Styela clava: one gene and its partners. The protein of the gene in region 1 purifies or fractionates together with the protein of each later gene. This does not show direct contact. Links are inferred from orthologs where the notes say so. Each region holds a gene or a part of one and is shown in the gene's direction. Other genes may lie near its edges.

Region 1 (3,758 bases):
ACGTGGGTTCAAATGTAATGGAACCTCTTGAATGCGCTTTGACTCTAACAAAGTGACTAGTCAATTTGGATTCTGACAACCCACGACGAGACGAGAGAATCGCCAAATGTTAATATGAGAGAATGAGAAAGAGAAACGTCATTCTTTGTACACCAATCAGAAACCGCCGTCGCTGGAACAGCGAGTTTCAAATGAGATTTAAATGCCTGTGTTCGGCGTGTATTTACTTGGCAAAAGGTAATATGAAAAAGATGAAAAAGACTCGATATCCAGGGCTCACTGTTGTGTATTTTGAATCAAATCTTATCAAAATTAGTTAAATTTATCGTATGTGTGTATTAGAGAATTGCTTTTGCACCTGTAATTACAAGAACAGCGGTTATTTTTTGTGTAATTCAATATAAGGGCTTTGTTACCGGAGATTTTTACATTTTATTTTTGAAACGGGAACACTTCTAAATTGTTGAATTTCAAATTGTTGAAGTCGCCTCCGAGATTGTTTGTTAGTTTTCGGTACTGGCTTGTATAAGCGCCAGTTTGGAAAGATTTGAAACGCAACAGTGTCGCGACTCATCTCCAAGCAGATCGTAACTAGGATGCTATTATTCATTTATCTATGTCCTTAAAATATCATGTGTGGATTATTTAGAAATTTTGCAATAGCAGAATAAGGTGGAGTTGAACATCCACGGACCTATCGAGACTGTGTTTAATGTTTCAGTGTTTGGACCGACCTGCCGCAATACTGGTTAGTCATTAAAGACAGACTGACTGAAGAAATAGCAAAATTTTGCCCAAAGTCATGTGATTGACTAAATCCAGAAATCAGAAATGTGATCATCTTATGTAGCTTTCAGAATGAAATATCAACTTTCATGGTGTTTGTAAAACTGATTAATGACTGAATGATCTATTTGGAAGTGGTCAGATAACTTCTTTCAATTGATATTCAGTATGCCAGGATTAAAAATATTTGGATAGAATAGTCATTAAATGCGTTTTGTGAATGACAACTTCTTCCATCGTTATTTTTCATCTATCCAGCTATCTGTCCATAGGCATCAATCCAAAATTATTTCCTGATGTGGCCAACCGCGGTAAATTTCATTTTTAACTAAGCACTTATTCCTTCAAAATAACAGAAGGTTGACACCTGTTAAATCAAAAATAAAATATCCATCAAAAGTAAAGTATGAAACAATAAGCTTTAGGGATGATCATTGGGCCCTTGTACGCAGTAATACTTTTTACCGTCTTGTTAGTAATATTTCAGTAATTAGTGTTTTTCTCTTGTCAGAATTAACTAAATATTTTATTGACATCTGAATTTTCTCCGCGTTCAATCATTTGAAGAAGTTACCAGCACCAACATGTCTAAGAAGGATATTCCGATGAAGGAGATCCCTGAGATTCTGTGTGATGACAACTCTGGAAAACGTTATACTCGCGGAAGATTTCTGGGAAAAGGAGGATTCGCTAAATGTTTTGAAATAACAGATCATGAAACAAAAGAAACGTTAGCTGGAAAAATTGTTCCTAAGGTTAAAATAAGCTACTCTTCACATCTCAATATATTAAATTATGTATCGTATTTTCTCATATTTCGTTGAGAATAATATTCAATTTTGGCAAGTGCATTATGGTTTACACAGAGTTTAGTAAAACAAGTTTTAAAGAAATTGTTTATGAACTGTCATGTAATAATTTAGGTTCATGAAAACTAAATGCATTTTCATGAAATTTCATTTCAAAATTTGGCAGATATCATGAATCCATAATTTACCGTTCAGTTATCTTTTAGTCCAGAATGAAATTGTAAACTAGGTTTCTCTAATACTATTTCATTTTGTCACTTTCCAATATTATTTGTTCAAATACTCAATTTTGCTATTTTCCATACTTTAGGCACTTCTTGTGAAGCCTCATCAGAAAGAAAAAATGACTCAAGAAATTAGTCTTCATCGTAGCCTCAATCATGATCATGTTGTTGGTTTCCATGGATTTTTTGAAGATAAAGATTTTGTTTATATTGTCTTGGAATTGTGCAAAAGAAGGGTATAATTTGAGTTTTGTTCAAATCTTATTTTACTCTCATTTCCTCATCTATCTAAATTAAAACCTTTGTCATTTGAAATATTGTACCTGTTCAGATTAGTCAAAATTTACTCGCGTCATTGTACCGATACGCTATGTTCACTACATGAAACAGCAATGTTTCTAGCTGTCAACAATTTTGGATGAATCGAAAACAATTTATTAAAATAACACATTTAAACTTTGACTTGAACAACAACAGCGGCTGTCATTATGTGGTTCCGCAGTGCAGATAACATAACATTTTTTTATCTCTCAAAATTCTATTATTTCTTTCTACAGTCTCTTATGGAATTGTACAAGCGACGAAAAGCTCTTACCGAACCAGAGACAAAATACTATATGAAACAAATTCTGCTTGGAGTTGTATATCTACATGACAAAAAAATTATACACCGAGATATAAAAGTAACCATTTTATTATTATTACCTATTATGTATAATGAAATTAGCTCTCAAGACTTGACTAATTTACGGATATGTTTTTTTTTTTTATTAAAAAAGGTGGTAGATTATGATAGCGGAATAGTGTACAGAAGAAAATATATTGATTGCCGAAAATTGTCATATAATCTGGATCAAAAATTTCAGTATACATACTATCTCTTCATTTATCTTTTATAATTTAATGTACATTCAATTTTTCCAGTTGGGAAATCTTTTTCTAAACAATGAGATGGAAGTGAAAATTGGTGATTTTGGCTTGGCAACCAAAGTTGATTTTGAAGGGGAAAGAAAGAAAACATTGTGTGGTACACCCAATTACATTGCACCTGAAGTGTTAGGAAAGAAGGGACACAGCTTCGAAGTTGACACATGGTCTCTTGGTTGTGTATTGTAAGTTCACACATTTTCATGATCAATAATTTTAATTTCAGAGAGTATCTCATTGGGTTGTTCACTAAAATTCCCGTATTATCACATGATCAAAGCCTGATTAGAGAATGTTCTGATGCATTTTTTACTCGCATTCTACTTTGCCCATATGGCATTTCATGTCGCTTGTTTTAAACCTCATTTGAAGTTAAGGCAACTTTTCTGATTTTCCTCTTTGTGTTGTGTTTGTCTTGTGAATTGTAATTTTTTCGTACCATATATCGGAAAGATTATCCTTTTTCAGATACACACTGCTGGTTGGTAAACCTCCATTTGAAACCTCAACATTGAAAGAAACTTACAGCAGAATAAAGAAAAATGAATACAGAATTCCTCATCATGTTTCTCCAGCTGCCAAGACTTTAATAAAAAGGTAGTTTTAGTATCTTATGTAGTTTTAGTAGCTTTTAAATTGAACAAATTGGATTCGACCATTGGAGTTACTCCTAGTTTACTTTTTGAACGATACTCAATAAAATTTGTTGTTCATTTTTAGAATGCTATGCAATGAACCCTCATCTCGACCCTCAGCGAAGGAAGCTCTGGAAAGTGACTTCTTTAATGGTTATATTCCTCATAAACTACCTACGACTTGTTTGACCATGGCACCTCGATTCCCTGAAATGCAGACGCAATCTCAAAGGAAACCTTTGCAGGATATAAATGGTATGACTTATGAGAAGTCACAAGTTTTTGAAAATTACTTTGTTGAACTGCTTTTTGATGAAACGCTTTGATTTACGAGATGGTGTTTGGATTCATCCTCAGTTTAAATAGCCTACCGCTTT
Region 2 (3,758 bases), on another chromosome or scaffold:
AAAAGATGTATTTGTGCAAATCAGATTCGATTTGTTCATACCTCAATTGTATTGATGGAAATGAATAGGTTTGATATTTCACTTAGATTTAATTTTTTTTGTTGTGAAACCCTCCTGTGAATTCATGCTTGTTTACCAATATATCTGGCAACAGTGATTAGAGATATTATTGTTCAGCTGATTTTGATTCATTTTTCTGGCAATTGTGGCTATTTTGTTCCATCAATTGCCGGACTTCTGGCGCTGAGTTAAACATGGATATATGTAATTTAGTAATCTGTGAACGTTTAGGATGCCTTAGGACAGGGATGGCGAACCTTTATCAATGAATGGGTCAAAAATCATATTTTTATCGCGGAACAGAAGAGAGTGGGTCACAGATATTTAATCAATGTTTGTATCTATAAGAAACATCTGAAACAAATCATAATACAACGGTTCTGTTAATGTTGGTGTAGTTTAGTGCTTTACTTTACAGCACTTTATCAGGAACTTTTTATGGCACTCGATCAAGGGTACGAAAACACACATGTGAATTACGTTGAGGATGATGCGGCAAATTATTTTACGGTTCCAAAGAGTTTGAAGGGAATTCCACTCTGATAGTGCTATAGTTTTATATCAGCTTTAACCATATTAAAAGCACTTTTACACTGCCCCATTGTTATTCCAGATTTCTAGGTTTTATTTCAAGTCTGAAAGATTTTGTATTCTCAACGGCATTGTAGGCGAGAAACTAATAAAATGCAAAGTGGCATCTAGTTCTCGTACAACCCCTAAAACAGTCTGCAGATGCACTTCTGAAGAGACAAGACGTTGCGAGAAATGAACATCAATTCGATTGTTATGTCATAAACGATGTCAGAGCCAATAGCTGAATAACGGCACACAACGGTGCAGACATGCGTCCAAGATTGGGGGTTTTGAATATTATCATAACGGAAATTAACAATTTGAATATAAGCGATCGCAGCCCTGACTGCCCAACTGACGGTACATTATAATAGTTTAGGTATTGTTAGATTAATTTAAGGCCGATTTTAATATTTTTTATCACTGATATGTTAGCATTTTTCTTATTTTATTCGTGCCTTGGCGGGTCACGAATAAAACGCGGTGGGTCACTTTGTGACCCGCGGGTCAGTGGTTCGCCATCCCTGCCTTAGGATGTCAGAACGTCAGCCCACACTCGTGTGACGCTATCCCACTAATGGGGATGGCAGCCCACACTCGTGTGACGCTAGCCCACACCCGTTTTTGTCAGGCCATACTAGGGGTAACTGGGCCGTGCTTGGTATTGTATTTGCGTTGTGTATATCAGATATGGTCTCTATATTGTCAAGAGTCACCAAGTTTTTATGTAATAACATTTACAAAGTCAGTAAAATAGTTGGTTAACCCGTTGACGTCAGCCTGAGCAGGTGTGGGCTGCGGTAACCTTGGTTATCAAAGTGATGAGTGGATGTTCAATTACAGAATCCAGAATTTAGACATTCACCTTACCCCACCTTACTCAGTTACTGGAATCACATTTTGACATTCGTCTACTTTATCAGGTGTCCACACTTTGATCTGCCAGTTTTCAGTAATGCTATTACTGTATTATTTACGGTACAGTATTATTGGTATATTTCCAGAACTCACTACAAATTTCATATCTGTTCTCTGTTGTAATGAGACATTTTTAATTCAGTCAAATCATTCGGTACTGCAGTAAGTCTATCTTCAGATCTAGCCCATTCTTGTTCAGTTAAATAAATCGCTTCTATTTTATTCTAATTGTGCAACTCCTCCTCCTTTTTGCATTCAAATTGTATGTTTTTCTTTCGCGATTCTTTTTTTGAGGTGTTCAGTTTAGTTTTGTGAACATTATACACCTTGATTAGTAATTCTGGAATAAGCATTCTCACTAGTCACTTGCTCATATTCAAATGCAGAAATGACTGGAGTCATATGAGGGATTCTGAGATTCTAGTGCAGTACTGCTCCTGTGGATACCGAACATCTTACTCCATTTCTGATATTCAAGATCAGAGGTCGGGCAGTCATTTATCTGTTCATTGACCCACAGTAGAGTTCAGAACTTTGTATAACTTTGAACTGTAGCATTGCATAGTCAGATAGTAGTTACTCTAAAAGCTATAAATTTATTGCTTAAAGAATAAAGATTTTGAATTTGTTCTGAAGTTATTAAGGTAATTCTGTATTTGTTATTAATGGATTTGAATCACTCTACAAAAATAAAGACACCTATTTTGACTCATGAATAACTCCAGTAATCTACTGCGAACATCAACTTCTGTTAATGCAATGATTGTCGCTCTGGAACCAGTGGAGTTTATACCCTATGGTCGCCATGCTATTTCTAATCATCCAGGTGAGCGATAATATCACAGTATTACTATGTCCCTCTTAGTGTTCTATCAATTTGCTCCTACCAAAAATTCACTATTACCTACCTTAAAAATAAGAAGGGTGGAAAAAAGAAAATGTTTTGTATGGTTTGAGAATGCACAAGAAATAGCATTTTGCAAATACAGTACCGGTAGCTGACCAATAAGTGAAAACAGAAATAGGTAAATGAGAGTTTTTTCTTCGCAAATTGCTTTAAATTTTTCAGGCCATCAGTGTTTGTCATATTGGTGACATCGAACAGTAATCAGTAATTTATTTTATCACCATATAAGAAATACACACTGTACATACAGAACGAGATAAGAAAAGAGAGGAAAATAATGCATTTCAGGGTAAAAAGGGATGCGATAAACCAGCATTGGTTATCGAGCAGCGACACCTATGAATAGTCTAACATTGGGTCATACAAGTTTAAAAAACAAACTCAATATAGTACTAAAGTGAGGAGTCGGACGCCAAAATACTGACATTGGCATAAATATGTTTGAAAAGACCGGATATTTCCGGACTCACTAAGCAAACGACTCCGAACGCCGACTGGCGTTGAGAACTTAATGTAAACAACCTTATGCCACCTACTTCTGGATTATTTGAAAAAAAATTTGATATCCTGTTTTGTTTTATTTTCACAGGCCTTTCTTGTCTTCACTTGCATCAGTCACAAGCTCCTCTAAGATTAGATCGAAGTTTAATCGGTTCTTTCAGCAAAGTTAGCTTGGATGACAGGAATAGGGTATAAATTTTCATATGGATGTATATAATTACGGATGCCATAGTTGTGAATGTTTTTATTGAGATTACAATAATATGTATGTGTATAGGTAGGCCTACTGCATCGGTGTCTTACGTGAATATATATAATCATTGCCTAATTTATATTTATTTAATACACATGTAAATGTAATATATTTGGGATATTTTCAGGTTTCTGAGAGATGGCACCTGCGGAAATATGCAAATGCTGAAGAGGAATTATATATTTGTAAAAATACTATAGTATGGAGTAGAGGATACAAAGTCATCAGTACATATACAATTGATTCACCTGTAATTCATGTAAGATATAATTCCTTCTAATTCTAGCTTTAAGTGGATGTCTTGGATGCAAATTGAATAGGCTTCTACTTTTTTTTTCTTGGATGATATTCATTCAATCATTTTGAACAACCTATTAACTGGAATGTTGAAATAACCTGTCAATATGGTGTGATAGGTACTGCACTGTACCTTTATGGTCAGTTAGCACTGTTAGCAGTTTTGTTTTTTAGTCTGGTATCGTTTTTCACTGAATCCTGAATGCCAAAATCAAAGGATCATCATTCCCTTTATCGCTCGGAAGCTCT
Region 3 (3,758 bases), on another chromosome or scaffold:
ATTAGAACGTCGTGAACAATGTCATTCAGAACATATGTTACCCATTGAGATGATGTTACCCCAGGAATAGTTTTTTTCATACCAAAAATCAAAACTTTCTTCCCTGAACTATGGAATGGAATGGAATTTCGAGGGTCAATTGTCGGGTGTGGTGATCTCACGTTTCTGCGTTTTTAATAAAGGATAACATTTTTATATTTATGGAGAAGAAATTTTATAAGACGGCGTATTCATATGGCGAACCACGACCACTCGTCCGGGATATATATGTAAATCATACCCAAGGATAATTCTTTTACGCTAAAAATCAAAACTTTCTTCATTGAACCAGAGCCATTATATAACGGTTATATAATGGCTCTGATTGAACTATGGAATGTAATTTTGAGGGTCAAAGGTCGGGCAAACATCCCTATACTGCCCTATATTGACCAGTTTGTGGTGATCTCGCGTTTCTGCTATTTTAATAAAAGATAAAATTTTCTATAAGAAATTCTATAAGACGAGTGTTCGGACAGTGCAAATATGATATCGCTATCCGTTACAAACATTTGGGTTCACGCAGGCTCGAATGTGGAGATATGTTTATCAACAATCACAGATAATGCAACAGGCTCGATCAGGATAGGATAGGATGACTCGGCGGTGTGGCGCATCGTGCTAAGCGTTAGGAATACGCTCGCCACCGCATCTCTGATTACTTGGTGCAGGTAGTACTGGTACCGGTACCGGTTGTGTAGGACCGTCTCACGGAATTTTATGAGATCAGCGAACCGGTTAGCATTACATGACTTTTTGTAACAGAACCGCCTGAAAATATGACATTTGTATGATAGAACCGGCTGACACAAAATTTAAATCCCACCACTGCCTTGGGGGGGGGGGGGGTTCGCAGGTTCGAATCCCATGAAAGATGTGCGAGAGGATTGCTGGACTCGTCGCCGCCGTAGGGTGGTTCACGTAACTGCTGGTCGGTTACGGGTTCCACCACCATCATGTCCATGCTTCTGAAAACAAAATAACTGGCTAACTAATCCCATAGGTACCCGACCTGGACGTGAGGCCGTGGTTCGCCATATGATTAAGTCGTCTTATCGGCTTTCCTCTCCCCCGGGATAAATATGTAAATCCTATCCTAAATGAGGTATTTATTACTATAAAACCAATATATCCACATGCTGGTTGGTTATTTATCTCGTTACTTGAGCTATTGTTATTTGTATTTAAGAATGTGAGTAAATAAATACCATATAGACTATATATTTGAAGAATTAGCACTGCAAATTAAAAAATGGAGACTACTAATGCTCCTGTTGCTGTAATGGAAAATCCCACAACTTCAAATATTCCGACATTTTTATTGAAACTTGTTAATATGTTGAAAGATGAATCAAATCACGAATATGTGGACTGGAATGAGGTAGTCTAGATTTGTGTGATTATATATTTAATAATGTGGAATTAGAAATGTTTACATTGTAACATTTGTATAATTGCACTAAATAATTTCAGAATTTGGTAATTCAATCGTTTAATAAACTTATCTCATATTTTTATAAATTAGTATATTTTTGCTATTAGGGGTGAAATGTATTACATAATCACAGCATTAAATCAGTTTGTTATCCTCTGTAAGCTTTATGAATATTTACTGATTGCCTACAAAGTTATTTCATTGTATTTTCACTAAGCCTTACATCCCACATCATCACATATTTTCCCATTGTGACTCATGATTGGAGTGACTCGTTTTGACTTGAGACTCAAGTGTTAAAATTAGCTCATACTCTGGGGTTAATGACTCAATCATGTGTCTCTTGAGATCAAGACTCTTGGCCTGCAACTTGGTACTTGTGGACTGGCTGAATAGCACCCAGTGTTGCCATTGAAAGTCTTGTTTCTGAAATTTCAATTTCTGACTGAATAGATTAATCTATTTTTTTTTTCAGGCAGGAACATCTTTCATTGTGAAAGATCAAGTACAGTTTTCAAAAATTGTTCTACCTAAGTATTTCAAACATAATAAGTTTGCAAGTTTCGTCAGACAATTGAATATGTGTGAGTATATTTCAAGTTTTCATGGTAATAATGAAAATCAAAATTTGTACAGAATTTTGGAATAATTATTGTTGACTAAGCATGACTAACAGTTTGTTAAAGAAGTCTTGCATACGCAAAACTTTTTACTGTCTGAATTTAATGTTCTGGGAGAGTTCGGAGGTAGAGTTTGAGACAAAATTTGCATTAGCTTGGCGTGGGAGAATGTTTTTCAAGTCACAGTCATGATTTTTTCAACACAGTAATTGTAAATTTTCTTCAGCCCCTGTCATTATTGGCAATTTTTGTTTTTTCCAGTATACACTTTATGGAAATGTTAGTAGAATATGAGATCTATAAAAAAATATTGGAGTAAGTAATCAATTTTAATAATCTGTCAGATGGATTTCGCAAGATCACATCATTAACACAGAGTGGTTTGAATAATGAAAAGGAGGAGATTGAGTTTTACCATTATTTGTTCATTCGTGGTGAAGAAGTATTTCTGGAGCATATCAAGAGAAAGGTATTTATCTGTTCAATTATTTGAATTATACAATAATTTATTGTTTATATCACTATAATCTACGTTATTAATTGAGGTTTTGCGAGATTAGCTATTTCAACCTTACAATGTCTTTTCAGCGATGTCAATATGTTATCAGGTAATTACTGTGATGCGATATATTACCAGGGGCATTATCAACCATGTTTGTAGTGACACATTATTTTTATTTTACATATTTCTACAATCTACATTAATGGAAATGTAAACACTTTCAAAACCAGTTTTATAATATAAGAACTCATGAATGCATGCATGAATATTCACAATGAACAATTTTTGTGCTCTTGGACTAAATCTTGTTAACATGATTACATTACATTTGAGGCATGGCCTCTTTTATTAGGCTGCTGATTTGAATATGCAAGAACTTAATTCTATTCAAATTAGATGAAGACGAAGTTGTAGAATACCAATCTATTCATATATGTTCTTCCCTATTTTGGCAATACTTTGAATTTGAGCCTGTAGTTATCTTGTTTTTGTGTCCAGGTACCAAAACCAGAAGAATCAAATCGCCGTAACAATGAAGATGTTACCAAAGTACTCGATGATGTTAAACAAATGAAAGGCTACCAAGAAAACATAACTTCGCAGCTATCAGAATTGAAGCAGTATGTATATATATTCTAAGACAGTACTTCTCTAACTTATATATTCTAGGTTAGTTCGTCTCCAACTTATATGATCTGTGGCCCTCCTCTGAAGACTTTCATCACTTTGTGGCCCCCTACCTAGTTTTGTTTGGCCCCCTACCTAGTTTTTTTTTCAACACTAGGACTGTCCTTCTCTAACTTATATGATCTGTGGCCCTATTCCGAAGACTTTCATCCATTTGTGGCACCCTGCTCTTCAATAAAAAACCTAGTTTTGTTTTTAACAGACTTCCATCAGTTATTATATTCGCAATGTTTAATAATAAAAAGCCACCCAATAACTTTAACACCTTTTAATGATTTTCCAAAAATAATTTTTTAATTTATTAATGGGAACAAATTAATTCGTTTAATTTTTTTTCAGAGAGAATGAAGATTTGTGGCGAGAGGTTGTTAATCTACGTCATAAGCATTCACATCAACAGAAAGTTGTCAATAAGGTGATTAAAGTATTCAATAACGATAAATTTAGGATTTTCAAATTTTGTTAGATAATGAAG

What was found.
Region 2: the proteins of serine/threonine-protein kinase PLK1-like (region 1) and anaphase-promoting complex subunit 1-like purify together in Homo sapiens (affinity purification with mass spectrometry; 3 studies listed by BioGRID and IntAct, with this or other methods). This does not show direct contact. The link is inferred for Styela clava from reciprocal best matches to the Homo sapiens genes PLK1 and ANAPC1.
Region 3: the proteins of serine/threonine-protein kinase PLK1-like (region 1) and heat shock factor protein-like purify together in Homo sapiens (affinity purification with western blotting; 3 studies listed by BioGRID and IntAct, with this or other methods). This does not show direct contact. The link is inferred for Styela clava from reciprocal best matches to the Homo sapiens genes PLK1 and HSF1.

What each region holds. Positions count from the first base shown.
Region 1 is NC_135260.1:16,482,341-16,486,098, reverse strand, and holds the start of serine/threonine-protein kinase PLK1-like, read left to right. Parts: upstream 1-1,276; 5' UTR 1,277-1,370; coding exon 1,371-1,541; intron 1,542-1,905; coding exon 1,906-2,055; intron 2,056-2,376; coding exon 2,377-2,502; intron 2,503-2,743; coding exon 2,744-2,931; intron 2,932-3,214; coding exon 3,215-3,343; intron 3,344-3,466; coding exon 3,467-3,636; intron 3,637-3,758. UniProt on the Homo sapiens protein: Serine/threonine-protein kinase that performs several important functions throughout M phase of the cell cycle, including the regulation of centrosome maturation and spindle assembly, the removal of cohesins from chromosome arms, the inactivation of anaphase-promoting complex/cyclosome (APC/C) inhibitors, and the regulation of mitotic exit and cytokinesis.
Region 2 is NC_135259.1:2,115,094-2,118,851, forward strand, and holds the start of anaphase-promoting complex subunit 1-like, read left to right. Parts: upstream 1-1,524; 5' UTR 1,525-2,262; coding exon 2,263-2,377; intron 2,378-3,047; coding exon 3,048-3,148; intron 3,149-3,339; coding exon 3,340-3,471; intron 3,472-3,758. UniProt on the Homo sapiens protein: Component of the anaphase promoting complex/cyclosome (APC/C), a cell cycle-regulated E3 ubiquitin ligase that controls progression through mitosis and the G1 phase of the cell cycle.
Region 3 is NC_135263.1:6,652,159-6,655,916, forward strand, and holds the start of heat shock factor protein-like, read left to right. Parts: upstream 1-1,207; 5' UTR 1,208-1,291; coding exon 1,292-1,420; intron 1,421-1,949; coding exon 1,950-2,058; intron 2,059-2,438; coding exon 2,439-2,563; intron 2,564-3,094; coding exon 3,095-3,216; intron 3,217-3,622; coding exon 3,623-3,698; intron 3,699-3,758. UniProt on the Homo sapiens protein: Functions as a stress-inducible and DNA-binding transcription factor that plays a central role in the transcriptional activation of the heat shock response (HSR), leading to the expression of a large class of molecular chaperones, heat shock proteins (HSPs), that protect cells from cellular insult damage.